Struthio camelus: one gene and its partner. The protein of the gene in region 1 binds, or shares a complex with, the protein of each later gene. Links are inferred from orthologs where the notes say so. Each region holds a gene or a part of one and is shown on either strand. Other genes may lie near its edges. The genes, in order: PLXNC1 and SEMA7A.

Region 1 (8,070 bases):
TACAGGAAGGTTGTGGCACCAATTGTTGAAGAACCTAGATTTCCTGCTTGACGTAAAAACAACCGTCTCAGTGTTACTTTGCTTTAGACTATGAACATTTGCTGTGCAGAACCATATTTTTCCTTCATGTGTACCTTTTAATTCTTTCTCTGTACCCTTGCAACTATATTGGAAACTATCATATTTGAAAAGAAAGGAAACATAATGTGATTGAAAAAATGTGTTTTAGATAAACAATCATAGTGTCCTGACTTCTTATCCAAAATTTTATAGTATTTATATTTGGAGATAGGCTGAAAAATTCTTCTTTCTTTTCCTTCTCTCCTTCCTTCTTTCTTTTCTTTCTTTCTTCTTTCCTTTTTCTTTCTCTCTTTTCTTTCTTCCTCCTTCCTCCATCTTTCTTTTTTTTTGCTTTCTTCTTTCTTTCCTTCCTTTTTTCTGTTTTTCTTTTTCTTTTCATTCCTTCTTTCCTTTTCTTCTTTCCCTCTTTCTCTTTCTCTCCCTTAAATCCCCCATATAGAAAGTATTATGAATATTTTAATATAGTAATATGTGACTTTTTAACATAGTAAATATGTGACTTTTTGATGGTACATGCATGAATTCAGGTCACTGTCCTCTCCACTCAGTTACACTATTTGCAGACCTTCTGCAATTAATTGCTCATTTTTTGCAATGATTTGGATTTCCCCTTCAGGTTCACGAAAGAGCCTGTTCTTGACTCGGACATTTTCTTTGGCGGTAAAGACCTCCAAAAAAGAATGCAGAAGGGTCACTAACTTTTAGATTAGACAGTGTATAAAAACAAAACAAAAAAGTAAAACTACAATCCAAAACTGCAGACTGAGTTTCAGTATTCAAATGCACTTACACGACAAGGAAGGAAATCTTTCTCAGCATAGCTTCCTGAAAAAATGCCTAGCATTTTCTTTTTACTTAGTCGAGACTTAGTGACATTACAAAATTGACTTATCTGTACAATGAAAAAAGCAGCTATTCCAAGTGTTGCACTGAGGATAAAATGCATGTTAACAGTAATGCTACCTATCATTATCATTACGTTGTAAACAGAAGATTATTTACCCTGTGAGAAAAGACAAGTCAGAACCAAGCTAAGGTAACCGTTTACATTAAATAAACAAACAGACCAAACGTGAATTGGGCTCGGAGTTTCAAAACAGGGAAAATATCAAAGTTAAGCTAAATCTGAAATAAATTACACTTAAAAAATAAATCTCATTTGTTGACTAATATTTTGCCAGATTCTTTGTGGAGTCCTAAATGCTGAGAAATTTAGCATGCAAATGAGAAATAAGGAGGAGGGAAGTAGGTAGCTGAACAATAGTGGGAAAGGCAATCATAAGTTAATTCAGGATGTGTTCTGCCTAATATTGATGAAGATCTAAAAAGGAGCTCTTTACTCGCAGAGGTAAATCCAAGTTCAAATGGATTCAAATGAAACTCCTCCTAGCTCAAATTCTCATATTCAGATCTCATATGCCCCGCTGAAATAAACAAAGCTTGCTTCAGAAAGTGAAGGAAGTTGCATTTGGTTCCCTGGCTCTATTAGTAATTTGGTCAGAGTGCCAGCAATGTTTTGTGACGTGCAACATGAATAGGCAGACTCTCCTGTTTGCCATTTCTACAGTGCCTAAAAAGTAAAACATAATGCAACTATAGCATAAAAGTACCAAATATGGAACTGATGACCAAGAGAATACAGTAAGATGTCTGTCATTTCATGCTTCACTTTTATAAGAATACCATTAATTGACTGCACTGTTTTCTGCTCTTCTGTATTAATAGCAAATATTAAAATCAGCAAAGTTACAAAAGAAACCTGTAGAAGAAACTTTGTTTCCTATTTCCATAACTTCTCTGTGGAAGCTCAATTCTACTTGTAACCTGTCAGGTATCTCTGGAGGGATAGACTGAACACGTGCACTACTATTTATTTCAGGGACTGGGAAAGGAATTGAGAACACTGCCACTTGAGGAACTGGGCCAACCATGAATAATCCTCAGTTCAAAGCTGCTTCAGTGGCTCTCAGGAGCGTACGCAGAATTAACTTTTGCAAGATGAGGACCTGGTCCTAGCTATTGCTTCCCCGGAAAGGGTAGAGGAGGAAAGAATAGAAACAGAAAAGCGATGCAGGCAGGGAAGAGACTGAGTAGCGGGCTCTGACTGCTCTCTGGGGGCAGGAAGAGGGCAGCCTCCTGTCTTGCCTTGGTAGTGCCTGGTACTCCACATGACTAGACCGTTTTCTAATGGCTGTAACCAGTCTAGCTTTTCAGGGTCCTAGAATAAGCAACATTTGAGGCAGAACATCGCTGTTTCGGCAGTCTGAGGAGCCTGCAGCCTTAGGAGATGTCGCTGTTCTCTAAGACTAAAATAAGCCTGGCCTCACCACTTAACCAAATTAGTCATTAGGTGAAGCACGTGGCATATTTCAAACATAAACCCACAGAAACAAGCAATCTGGCCAGTCCTGAAAGCCAACAAATGCAGAGGTTGGTGATTTCACAAGAGGAGCAACTTCCTCAGAAGCTGACCTGTTGCTAGACGTGCTCTGTGGTCAGTACCAAAGATGTCTTGCAGATGGGCGTCTGTCCATTCATGTTCCCAGTCAGCCTCGTAGGTTGCAGGCAAAACACAGATCACTCAGAACTTTACATTTGCACTGAAAAGCAACCAGAAGTCAAGGTATGCACTCCAGCGTGACACGTTCAGCTTCCTCCGCAATGCTGTATAAACTGTGTTTTTGTACGCAGTCTATGTTGGTGATATCGGCATGACGATTTACTTTGCTTATGGGTTGACAAAGTTCAGTAGCGTGCAGGAAGCTACAGGCAGCGTGCATGAGCAGGTAGAGCCTCCCTCCTTGTGCATCTGGTGAGAAAAAAAAATTGCATAATGATTCCTTTCCACATCCTCTGCTACATTTTGCAGATCTTGGACACATTTTGGAGTGACTGTCCATGAGATAAGTAGACGAGTTGCAGGAGGTTCTGAATTTGACAGTGGTATGTGTCCTAGCCCGATTGCTGCAAGATGGAAAAATACTTTTGCTGACCAGAGCAGAAGTAATTCTTGCACAATAGCTGCTGCTGGGTACAGTAATGGAGAAAGATAAGATAATTTTGCTAACTGCACTGTACTTCCTACTTGAAAATATTAGGCTTGACTCCTTTGTACAGGGACTACTTTTGTTCTAGTTTTTACAGCTCCACTTATTCACACTGCAAAGCCACTTAGAGATAAGAGTGGTGTAAAGGGATGGTCAGTGTTAGGAAAAGCAGCCTCTCAGTTCCAAATATTATGTCCTTTTCTCGGTAAAGCTGGCAGTGGGCCCTGTGCCCATCCTCACCCAGAGTTTCCAGAAACACCCAGCAGAGGACATTAAAATGTCTCCTGGTTATCTTGCATAATCACATCTTTACTTTAAGCCCAGCGAGAAAAAATTATTTACTGTTAGCTGGGCATGCAGTATATACATCCGGTTTTGTTGAGTCTGTACCAGAAATAACTTAGCAGGACAGTAAATCAGTTGTGCCATTCAACACACCGAATCCCATCCCCGAACGTTTGAACAGAGTCCATCTTGCGGAAGCACAGCTGGAGAAAACAGGGCTTTTCATGTGTCATGCAATCGCTAAAGAGAAAACGTAGACTCTTTTGTTTTACCTCAGAGAAGACTGTAGGGTTTTAAACAGAGATCTGACATCAAACTCCATCCCCACACGGCGACGGGGACTGATGGGGTTACAACTGGTTTCTGTTCCTGACATCCTTCAAAGCGAGTGACTAAAAATACGATGGCGTGCGTGCGTGAGGTGTAATTTAGCAGGATGGTTATGCAGAGCGTTTGAATAGATAACCCAGTTTCAAAGCTTGCGCCTGCTCGTACCCCGCCGCGTACGGGGACAGGCGGCATGAGGGTCCACCAGAGACCCACCTCCCACAAGTACCTTCCAGCCAGCCACGAACCAGGCCAGAGGGGCTGCAACAGTCTATCTTCACCCAACCATCCCCCCACCAAACTTCCAAAATCACAATTCCCCTTTCGCACGGTGGTAGATACGTGGCCGGGGGGGGGGGGGGCCACGCTCGCTGAAGGCAGGGACCAAACAGGCTGGCCGGGGGCCACCGTTTTCACCCAGGAGGGACGAGGGCCCGGGCGCCGCGTCCCTGGGGGATGCCGTGTCCCTTGGGGCGGCGGGCCAGGGCGCAGGGGACGGGCCGTGGGGGGACCACGGGCCGCACTGGGGGCACGGCGGCCGGGCGAGGCGCGGCGCGGCGGCCACCTGAGCCGCGGCGGCCCACCAGAGGCGTGGCGGCCGCCTGAGGTGAGACGGCCCACGGCGAGGCGAGGCGAGGCGCGGCGGCCGCCTCGCCTCAGGTGGCCAGGGCGGGCGCGGGGCAGCGACGCGCCGGGGGCCGCCCCGGCCGGCCGGTCCCGCCGCCTGAGGGGCGCCCCCGGCCGCCGCCGCCGCCGCCGAGGGGCTGGGCGGGGGGTGCGCGGGGGGCGGCGGGCAGGGCCGCGGCGGCCCTGGCGGAGGAGCCCGGCCCACCGCTCCCGCACAGGCACCCCCCTTCCCTTCCCTTCCCCGCCCCGAAAGAGGAACTCCCCGCCCGCGCACACACGCCGGCCGCGGCGGAGGAAGCGGCGGCAGCGGCGGCAGCAGCGCGGCGGCCCCGGGGGCGCAGCATGGCGCAGCGGCAAGGGCGGCAGCAGCAGCGGCAGCAGCAGCAGCAGCAGCAGCAGCAGCGCCCGCCGCCCGCCGCCGCCGCCGCCGCCTGAGGGACCCCCCGCGGCGCCGAGCGGAGCCCGCGCCCATGGCGGCGCCGCCGCCCGGCCTCAGCTGGGCGCTGCCGCTGCTGGCGGCGCTGGCGGGCGCCGGCGCGGCCGCTGCGCAGGTCTTCGAGCTGCCGGGGGCGGCCATCGACAACATCGAGGTGAGCCGCGGCGGCGTGCTGGTGGCGGGCGGCAGCTGCCTCTACGAGCTGCGGCCCTCGCTGCGGCTGCCGCGCCGCGTGGTGCCGCCGGCGGCGGCGCAGGGCTGCGCGGAGCCGCCCGGGGTGCGCAGCAAGCTGCTGCTGCCCTACGAGGAGGCGGCGGGCGGCGGCGTGCTGCTGGCCGGCTGGACGCAGGCGGAGGGCAGCTGCCAGGTGTGGGAGCGCCCGGCCTACCGGCAGCGCTTCAACCGCAGCGAGGTGGTGAGCTGCCTGCCCGGCGGCTCCACCGCCGGCGTGGTCTTCGAGCTGGCCGGTACCTGGTACCTGGCGGTGGCGGCCACCTACTCGGAGGGTAACGCCGACACCCGGCTGGGCTGCGAGCCGGCCCGCTCGGACGCCACCACCGCCATCACGGTGCGCCGGACGGACAGCCTGCTGTCCAGCGAGGAGCTGGCCGTCATCAAGTACAAGGAGGACCCTCTGCACTTCGTGGACGCGCTCCGCTGGGAGAGTCGCCTCTTCTTCCCCTACTACAAGTTGCGGGCCACGCTGGGCAAGGATGGGGAGCGGCCGAGCATGGCTGTGCTGCGCCAGCTGCGGCCCTCGGAAGGTGCCTTTACTTTGCAAGGCCAGGTGTATCTGGACTGCGGCTGCAGGAGCCTCATCGTCTCCTCCAGCCTCGTCCGCCAGGGAGCGGAGGGCTGGTGGGTGGGTGTTTTCCGCCACAGCCACAGCGCGAAGGCCTGGAACAGCACCGCCGTCTGCATCTTCGGGATGGAGGAGATGAGCGAGCAAGCCTGCGTGTCCACGCACTTCCTCGGGGACGGGAACCTTTGTGTAAGTCGTGGCGCCGCTCTTGTTAAGCTTTATCCCTTCAGACCGTGGTTGTCACTGTTGTTGTCGTTGCCGCTGCTTGTGCGTAACTCCATGGGGTGTCCCCCGCTGACGGACCTGAAGGCCCGTGAAGTTCACAGGAGCTTCTGAGCTGGGCCAGGCTTTGCGCATCAGCTGTGGCTCCGTCAGCCCTCAAGTTTTCTCTAGGGCTTTCTCTTTCTAAAGAGCTGATCCCCCTAACGGGTCCTTGCAGCCTGTCTGATGGGTAGTCCCCTTCCCAGTTATGTTCCAGGGAAGGCATGGCGGAGGGGGTACCTGACAGCGCTCTGGGTCAGGCAAGAGTCTCAGGCTTCTCGGGCGTGCACCCTTTTGCTGCCAAGGATTAGTTATATTTCACTGTATTTTCTGTGGAGCCTACATAAAGCATTTCCTACCTTGTTCTGTGCATTCACATCTCCTGTCATTGCAGCTGCATCAGAAGTGAAAAAAAGCCCGTCAAAGTGACTCCCGTGCACTGGGCTGCGTGCATTGTTATGCCTGTTGCTCACTAGTTATTTATGATCGCTTATGCAGTGGCGGGTGTTTTCCATATGTCCCAGGATTGCCCCTGCTCAAGAGGGCTCACAAAACCCACCCAAACATGTATACACAGCAGACAACCCTTGGCAAGATCTCTTTGCTGTTGCGGTGGTTACATTTTTAAGGCAGTGGTATCCCATGGAGATCCCCTGGTCGCCCACTTCTGCAACACTGTCTCTTCAGCTCCTTCATCCTTTTAGAGTCAGCTATGCATGGGGAGGGCAGGGTGGGCAAGGCTTCCAGGTTTGCTGTGGCCTTGGCAACTAGTGAAAAAAACAGCTAAAAATGTGAATCAAGACAAGAAGCTGCTTTTGCAAGGCCCTTCCATGCTTTTAAAAGTCACACCCCTCAGAAGTCTTTTCAGTTCTGTAGCAAAGGAACAATGCTGAAATGCTATAGTTCTCAGGGAGGACTATAGGGGATCAAGCCTTCATAAAGAAAGCTCTGACCTTTTGCAGCTCCCCCACCATCCACAGACTTTGCAGCTTAAGCCCTCAATTCTTCCTCTGTTATGACAGGAATTTGTTGTAAACTCCTTGAAAGAAGTCTTGTAGATTTGCCATCGCTCCTTGACTTCCAAAATCTAGCAGAGCTCAGTGCTTGAGATTTCTTGCAAACAAAAGCTACCAGGGGGCACATGCAATTCAGTAGGGAAATGCACAGATTGAATCATAAGACCGTTACTGGTGTTTAAGGACCATAATTATGAACGAGAACCCCATATGTGGGTGAAACAACTGTGCTGAAGCCAATACCAAAACACTTACTCATTTCAACAGAGCCAGAACCAAATCCTTGGATTTGCAATGCCAGTTTGTAACTTACTGCGTGATTTCTATGCTGTCATGTAGCAAAATTACTGAATGAAGTTAAAGTCTCCTCTCATCCCAAAATACACATATGCAGTTTGGATTTTGAATTTGTATTCTTTGTTTTCAATTACTCGTGGATTTTCTTCCCTGGAAAACAAAGGTGCTTTCTGAGCCTGCAAAAGCAAAAAAGAAATGTCTCCGAGCAGCAGATCCTTAATAAATACATTTCAAAGCCCAATGTTAGAAATTCCAGATGAGTCTTTCGGAATGTATAGGGTATGGTAATGACAGATATTTCTGTTCCGATCTGTGTTTTTCTGAATCCCCTATCTCCATTGTACCCAGGTGTCTCAGTATGGAAAGCCAATGTTCTTCTTGCTTAAGGATTGGTCTGATTTAGCTCAAACTCCTATTATCCCAAAGTTACAAAGCTTGTCCCTCCTGGAAATGTCAGCTGTATTTGGCCATAACACTGAAGACTCTCAACATTTAAAATGTTTGAAATGACTGCTTAATATTGTGTCCCTAACTATAATGATGTAGTTAATCACGATACTCTTGCAATGATAAATACAGCTTATTACTCACAATAGTATGGTATTTAGTATTTTTTGAGATAGCAGACATCAGAGAGTTGGGCAGTAATATGACTTGCAGTATTACATGGCAAATGATACTCCCTTTTTAAGGTAATTATATGTGCTTGTGGTGTATAAACATAGAAACAAATGCAAGTTTTTCAGCTTTAATATGAATTTTTTTAGTACAGAAGGTTAGACTAGGCTAACGCAGAATAAGTTTAGAGATGCCAGGTCCATATGCTGCTGTTTCTGAGTTGATTTAATCCATATCTTTTTACCGCCTCTCACCAGATAGTATGAGTCCCTG
Region 2 (7,947 bases), on another chromosome or scaffold:
ACATTTTTTAGACGTCTCTCCCTTCCTGGCGGGACAGATATCAACGCTAGAAGTATTTTAACACTACAAGGTCAACTGATTATCTTTACGGGAGTTTACTTTCCTCAGCAGCCTACGCTTACCTTACGTGCCTGGCCAGCTTATGAGTTTCTTCTGACGGTTTTCTCAACGATAGTTTGAAGTGGCTCCCTGGGGACCAGGGGATTTGCACTGATTTCTCAGAGGAAAACATGGACTTAGACTCTAGCTCCTATTTATGGCAGGGAACTGGGGAGCCGATTGTGGAGGCTGCACCTTAACTTGTGCATTACCAGGAGGACTTTGTGGATCTAATGGAGCTGATAATGCTGATATGCTGAAGCATAGCTGCTTTGCAGCATGTGGCAGTGCTGCCCTGAAAGCCAGGCCTGCTAGGGAGCAGAGAGGAGCATAGCAGCTGGGAAACACCGAGCGTTTCAGGTGAGCAACACCGTTTGGGCCCTCAGGAAAACGGAGCTGACGCACTGTGCAATGTTAACGTATCAGTATGCAGCTCTGTGTGGCAGATCGATCTCAACAAAGCAACGTGCTTCTTCGTTTTAATTTTCTTTGAAACGGGGAGAGCTGTGCGTTGCACTTGCTTTACTCTGTGTAAAGCCTTTGGGATCTGCGCCAAGGGGTGCTCAAGCTCCTGGCAGGCCATGTGGCAGAGGTGTACAGCTCACTGTTTTGCCTCCTCGCTGTTGACAGCGTCGCTTGCTAATGTGAGAGTACTAACAAGACCCTTGATCATCTGAGATGTGCTAACTTTTTCCTGGCGAACATCCTCAGTCCTTTATGCTATGCCCCAAAAGGTCCCTCTTTGGTACTTTCCTGAAGCTGCCATGGCTGATAACAGCCAGAGATCAAGCTCCACTTGTCATGTTTCTGGAAGAGCTGGCGCACCAGTGAATAGATCTTGCCTGGCTTTCACAGGGAGAAGAATGTTTAAATTTTAGGGATGTTTGTGCTTCTTTCTGTTGATGATGAAATTTTCCAGGGAAAATACGCCTGTGTCCAAATCCATAATATCTAGTCGGTATTTCTTGACACGTTCCTGGTCTGGTGGGAGGTTAGTAGATAATGATTACTATGCTCTTGAGTGGTGTTCCAACATACCTGCCATTCTCTAACGGGCCTGAAACGATGCCCGTAAAAACAGTGGAGGTTTCGTTACAGGCTGCTGGAATGTTTATGTCCTAGGGATCTTCTCTGCTTTTGTAAATAAAACTGAGCATTCTTGTTGGGAAAATCTGTGCTTTATGATTTTGAGGTACTTTGGGGGAAGCTGAGTTCTTATCCGTTTTGCAGCTGAATAGTGCAATCTGAATGAAACTGCACCTGATTTGTACTTTGGCAATTCTAATCCCTGAGCGAACCTGACAGAAACCTCCGCTTTCAGGAGGGGCTGAAAGAGAAGAATGTGCGTGCCTGCAATCTGATCTCTTGTTTGTGCATTCCTTGTTCAGTACCACAACATCTGACTGAGGTCATTTAGAGGAGGTCCTGAGCAAACAAACTCTCCCAGAAACTCTTTGAGTTATTGGGAAGTATGCGTGCGTGTACTTAATGCCCAGTCATTTTTTGGTTGAGTGTTGCTGTATTCAGGGCACAGTTCCACATCTAGCACTTTGTGCACGCTGACATAGGGTTGGAACAAAGCTGATAAAGAAGACTTGAAATCAGCTCCGTACTCCTTGCCTCCTAAGTCTGCAAGCTGAGCTGGCTCCTTGATCAAATCTCATAACACAGCATTACGCTCTGCGGCTATATGCCTCTGCATACACAGGGTGCCCTGCCCCTTCCGGGCAGCTGGGTGTCAAGGAGTGGCTGTTTTCCCAGGTCATTGCCCAGTGTGTGTGTGGGCAGTCCCTTGACTCCCAGATCTTATCCAAACTGTAGGTCACCTCAAGCAAATGAGGAGAAACTGGGTTGATGAAGGGGGCTGGATGCACAGTCCTGTGCAGTGCCTTGGGGTCTCTCTGTCAGGCTCACCCTGGCTGATTGCAATCATGCTGCTGCACTGAAGCAACTTGCAGGGAGGAGTAGGGACGCTAAGGGGAGCTATAGCTTCTGGGTGGCGCAGAAGACTTTTTGGGCGAGAGCTCAGTTTTAGTGAAGACTCTTCATTTGAAGAGTTGTAATTAGCTTTTTGGGTCCATGTTTTTCCCTTCTGCTGTAGTCTCCTTTGCTGGTGATTGTTCTGCAGAGATCTCAGAGCAGCTTTGTACTGAACTGCATGATCTCCTGTAGCCAAGGACCTGGGACAACTGCTGGGGCTGTCAGCTTTGAGTTTGGAACTGGCCTTGGACTCCAATCTCTAGTTTGCTCCAAGACCTTTTTTCTCCTACAGATTTGTCAGCCTTCCCCTGTCCCCAGGCATGAAACCATCATTTGGGGTCCTGTGATGGGGAAGGTCTACCCAGCAAAGAGGTGAGATACAGTACAGAGATGCCACGCGACACAGTGATACCCAGCAAGCTGTTTGCTAAGCCTTTTGCTTAGCAAGCCCTACAGCATCAGTATGAGTCCAGGGGTGCAATACAGTCCTGTTCATGGGGTGGTTCAGCTGGTGGCCTAGGAAACAGAGGACAGTGATATCAGATGTGTTGAACTAGAAGCAGCTCAGAGCTGAACACTTCTAAACTCTCGGGAGAATTTGAAGCTGAATTTTATGCATAGGGGGCATTGTCTTCAAGTGTAGATGGGGAAAAAACCCAAAAGCCAGCCCCACAGAGTACCAGGGTGTGTCAATTAACAGCAAAGAAAGGGAGAAAGAAAAGGATTTACTATTGTCACAGGGCAGAAGCTCTCCTAGTTCCTCTCTGAACAGAACCCATCTGTGTTATGAGTTGGTAACTTTGTTGAGAAGGGGATCTGCGAGCCAGCGTGCAGGAAGACGGCCACCGGATCGGCTGGGTGGTTCCCAGGCACAGATCTATGAGTGGGGCTGTGACGTGAACACAGTGCCTCTGATGCTGTAGGGAGGCACAGGGCCCCTGCACCCCCTTCCCCAGGTAGTCTGTCCACACACATGGGTCATGTCTTACCAGACGCACTGGCGAATGGTCCTATCTAGTAGTTCTGGTCAGGCTGTTACGGGGCCGGAAATATTACATGAACATAGAAAATCCTCATATCTTCCCCATGAATGTTTCCTAAGGGGAAGAAGGGCGGCCTGGGGAGGTCTGGAGGAACAGCAGGTCCTCAAGGGAGAAAGAGCTTTTCAAACAGATGCTTGCAGACTTATTCTCGTTTGTCTTCTACGTTTGGACTCAACTGGATTGACAATAAAGAACAGGGAAGGGATTAAAAATAGTCGGCTGTATGCACGTCTTCTTACAGCATCACACAGTTGTGAAGTTGCCCTGTTCAGCTGGATTGAGGCTGTGCCTTTCTCTGTCCATCCTGGGGTTTAAATGAAATGTCATCAGAAAGGTCCCTGCTCCACCAGTTTTCTTTGATCTTTCCCATTGATGCAGGCCTGGCTGTGGTCTTGCTGGTACAGACTGCCAGTGATGCTAGTCCTATTTGGATGGTGACTTAGTGCTGTAAAATTGTAGTTATATGAGCCACATGAAAGAAAAACCACATCAGGTCATAAAAGACAAAGCAGGTAGTAATGTATGCAATGTCCATTTACGTAGCCCAAATTTTGGTGGATGCAAATTGTTAAGTTGTCATGTTTATTAAGGAGCACATGTGGGTTGTTTGGCTTAGGCTGTTGATTTGCAAATGGTGCCCTCCTGTTTCTTTTTCACTCCTGACTGTGTGAAAGAGCCTTAATGAATTGCACACGCGTTTTCCAGCAAGCCTTTTCTGACTTGTGCTGCAAGAAAGCAAGGGGCAATGGGGTTGAGTACCTCCTGGATCAGTGGGGCTGGTGGAGAAATGCAGTAACCTCTGGGGTGAAATGGACAGTTGCTTAAAGGTGAACAGTAATGCAGAACGCTTCGAGGCTAATCTGGGAATCACCATGTCCAAAAGTGGAAAACCAGAGATGATCTGTATGTTGTCATACTGTAATTACCCAAATGGCTATTTGGTTAAGATGAGAGAGAGAAACCCCACGCTTAGAGTTAGTGGGAAATTCCTTTGGGTCCTTAAAACTGACAATTAGCTGGCTCATTAATATTTTGCTTCCTCCGAAATGTCCCCTTGAACTGCCACTGTTCATCTCCTTCAGGAGCGGAGCAGTCTCGGCTCTAGCTTCAGCACTGACTTTAAAGAGAGTGCAGCTGCATCTCTCATGTCCTTGTGCGTTCTCCGTGGGGCTCTCCTATTCCGGTCACGTCCGACCTCGCTTTCCTTGCACGTAATGCCCTGCTCTTCTCATTAACAAATCTCTCAGCACTTCACAAAGACTGTCAGCCCTTGCTGGCCTCCTAATGGGGAATGGAGGTCTGGCAAAGTGAAGCGACTTTCCAAAGGTCGCACCACAGACCTGGTAGCAGGCCAGTCCCATGGGCCAGGGTGCTGCGCCCTGCTAAGCATCTTGTCATTTCAGAGAGCATTAGCATGACAAAAGTCAGTGTGAGATCTTATGGAACAGGATATTTATTCACCACACCTCTACGTAAACAGATTTTATACATTCATGCTCTAATTTCGTTTACTCTCATGCTCACAAGCCTATGACACACGTGAGACCCGTGTTTGAGTGGTCTGGCTAGGATCGCTGTTGGGCGACACGGAGGACGAGGGACACCGGCGGTTGAGTCCTCATCACGTCTCTGGTGGTGTTCTTGACTTGTGATGACGAATGAGTTTTGGGATAAATCTTTTGTGTTGTTAGGAGTGGCCCTTTGCTATGATCTTCTTGTAGCGCTAGCAGGGAGAAGGCTGGCGCCTGAGCTATGCTGCAGCCTTGCTGCCAGGAGTTTCCCATTAGCGAGCTCTCCCTGCTGGGCTGTTAGCAATGTGCAGCAGCCCTTCTGGAGAAGAAAGCCCTTAGTCCCTCCTTCGTTGCACTCATTGGCTGATCTGGGTTGCATCCGCTCATAAGAAATGCCGCTCTCAGGCTCCTGATCTCTGCTCCCAGAATAAGTAGAAATGGGCAGAAGGACCCCGGTTGTCCTCTTGGTGGCCCTGTGGGCCAGCCAGCTGGGTCTGTGGGTGGCGGGGCGCTCCAAGGTGAACCCCAGGATCATCACGGCTCCCCGAGGTAGGTCCCGGCGAGCGAGCGGCCGCGGGAAGCAGAGCGCTCTCTTGAGACGTGCCCGCGGCTGACAGCGATTCCCTGCTGCCGCGCGATGCGTTTTCTCCTCGTTTTGTGTCTTTCGAGTGGGTCCTTTCTTTTTTTTCTTTCTTTCTTTTGTCTCTTTGGGGAGACTTCTGGCTCTCATTTTAAATGAGCCAAGATGCCTGTGGTCTCAGAAGGGTTTTTAACCTCCTTGATTTTTCTTTTAAATTGAGTTTTTAGATCTCTTGCCTTGACAAGTCCTTTCCCCCTGTATATTCTGAAAGCGCTTTTCCCCCAGGCCGGGTATATTAAACTGTTGATCCCCCCCCCCTGTCCTGGGACAGGCACAATAACCATTTCTTCTAGCTCACAGGGAGAAATGAAGAAGTATATTTGCATGACACAGTTAATTTTCTTATTAATCTGATGTGCTTGCCCTCTTAGTTGCAAATGAGTTGCGCTCTTAAATATTTGCAGATGATCTCTGTATGAAAATACATATGACTGAAAGAGCTTGTGATCAGCCACGGTCTTACTGGAAACAGAACAAAGAGCAGTTTTCAAGGAGGAAGTGTATACCCTGCGATTGCCGAGAGCTCAGCCCGAGATACGGGTGTTCGAGAGAGAATTCACTAGTTTTATCATGTGTCTTCCAAGCTCGTGGATTAATACCCTCCAGGGAGGGTTTAACAAAAGACCTTGTCTTGTCCCCAGCGGTTATGGTGTTTGTCTAACCCGACGGCTCAGCCGGGCTGTAGATCTCGCGCCGCTCTGCAGTACAACAGCCCCTCTGTGTTTTCCATTTGCCGAGAACTTCAGAGGATGGGAATTTTCAGTGGTTTATTCAGCGCCATCTGTTATTCTTCGGCCAGGAGCTCTTTCAGCCCGGTTGCTCCTGGAAGGGAAGGCCAGAAGCGCGGGGAAGGGCTCGGGGCACGTGGCCGGGAGGTGGTTCCTGCCTGACGGGCGCCCGAAGGGGAGAGGGCAGCGGCGGGTTGCTCGTAGCCTTGCGTCGTTTGCTTTAGCTTCTGGCAAATTAAGCAGCTCGGCTGCTGCTCCGACAACGGTACGGAAGCGGGGGGAGAAAACGCACCACGAGACTGAGCAGAGCCGCGGCCGTGGGGCTCCTGCCTTTCTCGGCAGAATTTTTCCCCTGACGTGTTTAGGAGAGAGGGAAAAACAAAAAAAAAAAAGTTGACTTGCGTACATCTGGCACGGACGGAAACCTCTGTCCTAGGGTAAAGCGGTGGTGAGGCGGAAGAGCAGGCTCCTGGGGTTGGGTTTGCATGACACCTGTTTCTGCGAGCGCTCGGCCTCGGCACGGGCGCAGAACGTAGCCGTTTGACCCGTCTGTGTCGGATGGTGGCTTTCCTGGCATTAAACGCGGTGAGGATCTGCCACCGAGAAATACCAAAGCCAATTAGTGTTAGGACAGTTCCCTGCAAAGGGATCAGCTTATGCTTATCTCTGTTTCTTCTGTTTCTCTCTCTTTCTGTTTTTTGGTTTTTTGTTTTTTAGTTTTTTTTTTTTTTAAAGCGTAGCTGGGACACAGGCCCAAAGGGATTTCAGTTAGGGCATTAGTAGAGGCAAATATGTGCTGTACTCTGTTATGAGTCAGTCATGCTTCCTATTTAACAGATTGCGTTTTGCTCCATGTAACCTCTGTCCTTTAGAAAATGGGTCCTCACCGAACGAGGAGGAGGGTGGACTAGGATGGCGCGTGGTGGTGGGAGGAGAGGAAGTACCCCTGGAGAAGGGCAAAGAAATAGGACAGAGGGAGAAGGGATGCGATGGGTGGCAGAAAGCCCTTCCCTAATGCTCCAGACATAGCAAAAGGCAAGTACAGTATCTTTAATATAGATAACTTGCAAGTCGGCATGTTGCTGCTTGCTTGCGTCCATCTTGTGTAGAGGCTGGACCCTCGCCGTGGGGTGATGGTGTTGCAGGGCTTGGTTTCCAGGTTGAATCCTGGTCCCAGAGGCTGGGAACTGGACAGAAGAGCAGCAGCTGGGCTCCTAGCTGTGGCCACCTGCGTGGCCGCTAATGCCAGAGCAGGCGGGAGGCTGGCCCTGGGACAGCCCGGCTGCCTGCAAGGTTGCTAGTTCAAATCCAGCCTTGAGGCATCACTCCCCTTGAGGGACCTTTTGTGCTCTGCCCGCCACGAAGGGCTGGGGGTTGTCCTAGGCCAAGTTCATTGCGTTCCTGCCACGCTGGCGTGCCGAGCGATGGTGCGGCACTGGCTTCAGCCCGGGGTTCTGCAGGAGCTGGCAGCTCTTCACCTAATTAATTTTCTTATGTGCCACAGCTCATCGCTAGAACGAGGCAGGGCAGCCTCTGCAAAGGCACCTAGAGGCGTTACAGCCCTGGAGACGAGCAGAGAAATTCCCTCCTGGCACTGGCCTGAGCCCCGTTTTCCCTGGAAGAGAAGAGCACGTGTGCGTCTGTGTGTCCGGGGTCCCTCCCCGGGCTGCAGCCCTTGGGGAGAGAGGAGGAAATCGGCACGAGCCAAAGCTGTTGCTGCAGCCACCCTTTGAGCGCGCAGCCACTGCGTCCTCCCCTCTCCAGCATGCCTCCCGATCTGGGAGGAGAGCCCGCGGCCGGAGGCCTTAACTACTCTGGGGCTTTACCCCGCCGTCCCTAGCTGTCTGGTTTCCTTAGCAAGAAATAGGTTAGGTGAGACCCTCAGCCGCCAGCAGAAAACGATGTTGCTGGCTTTGTTGGCATCACCCAGAGCTCAGATCTGAAAA

The links.
Region 2: the proteins of PLXNC1 (region 1) and SEMA7A are in contact, whole or in part, in a crystal structure (PDB 3NVQ), measured with the Homo sapiens proteins. The link is inferred for Struthio camelus from reciprocal best matches to the Homo sapiens genes PLXNC1 and SEMA7A. Residues at the interface, in NP_005752.1 of Homo sapiens: Arg131, Thr151, Glu152, Val153, Asn195, Pro196, Ala197, Ala198, Ser199, Asp200, His201, Thr203, Ala206, Lys208, Arg213, Ser214, Leu215, Ala216, Thr217, Gln218, Glu219, Leu220, Arg222, Lys224, Glu272, Ala350, Ser352, His353; in NP_003603.1 of Homo sapiens: Gln194, Tyr196, Asn197, Gly198, Lys199, Arg202, Arg204, Tyr213, Ser215, Asp216, Thr217, Gln270, Gly271, Gly272, Glu273, Ser274, Ser275, Leu276, Val278, Ser279, Lys280, Pro372, Thr375, Glu376, Phe378, Gln379, Asp382, Arg383.

Annotation. Positions count from the first base shown.
Region 1 is NC_090942.1:51,555,308-51,563,377, forward strand, and holds the start of PLXNC1 (plexin-C1), read left to right. Parts: upstream 1-4,798; 5' UTR 4,799-4,837; coding exon 4,838-5,794; intron 5,795-8,070.
Region 2 is NC_090953.1:23,590,339-23,598,285, forward strand, and holds the start of SEMA7A (semaphorin-7A), read left to right. Parts: upstream 1-4,797; 5' UTR 4,798-5,070; coding exon 5,071-5,182; intron 5,183-7,947. UniProt on the Homo sapiens protein: Plays an important role in integrin-mediated signaling and functions both in regulating cell migration and immune responses.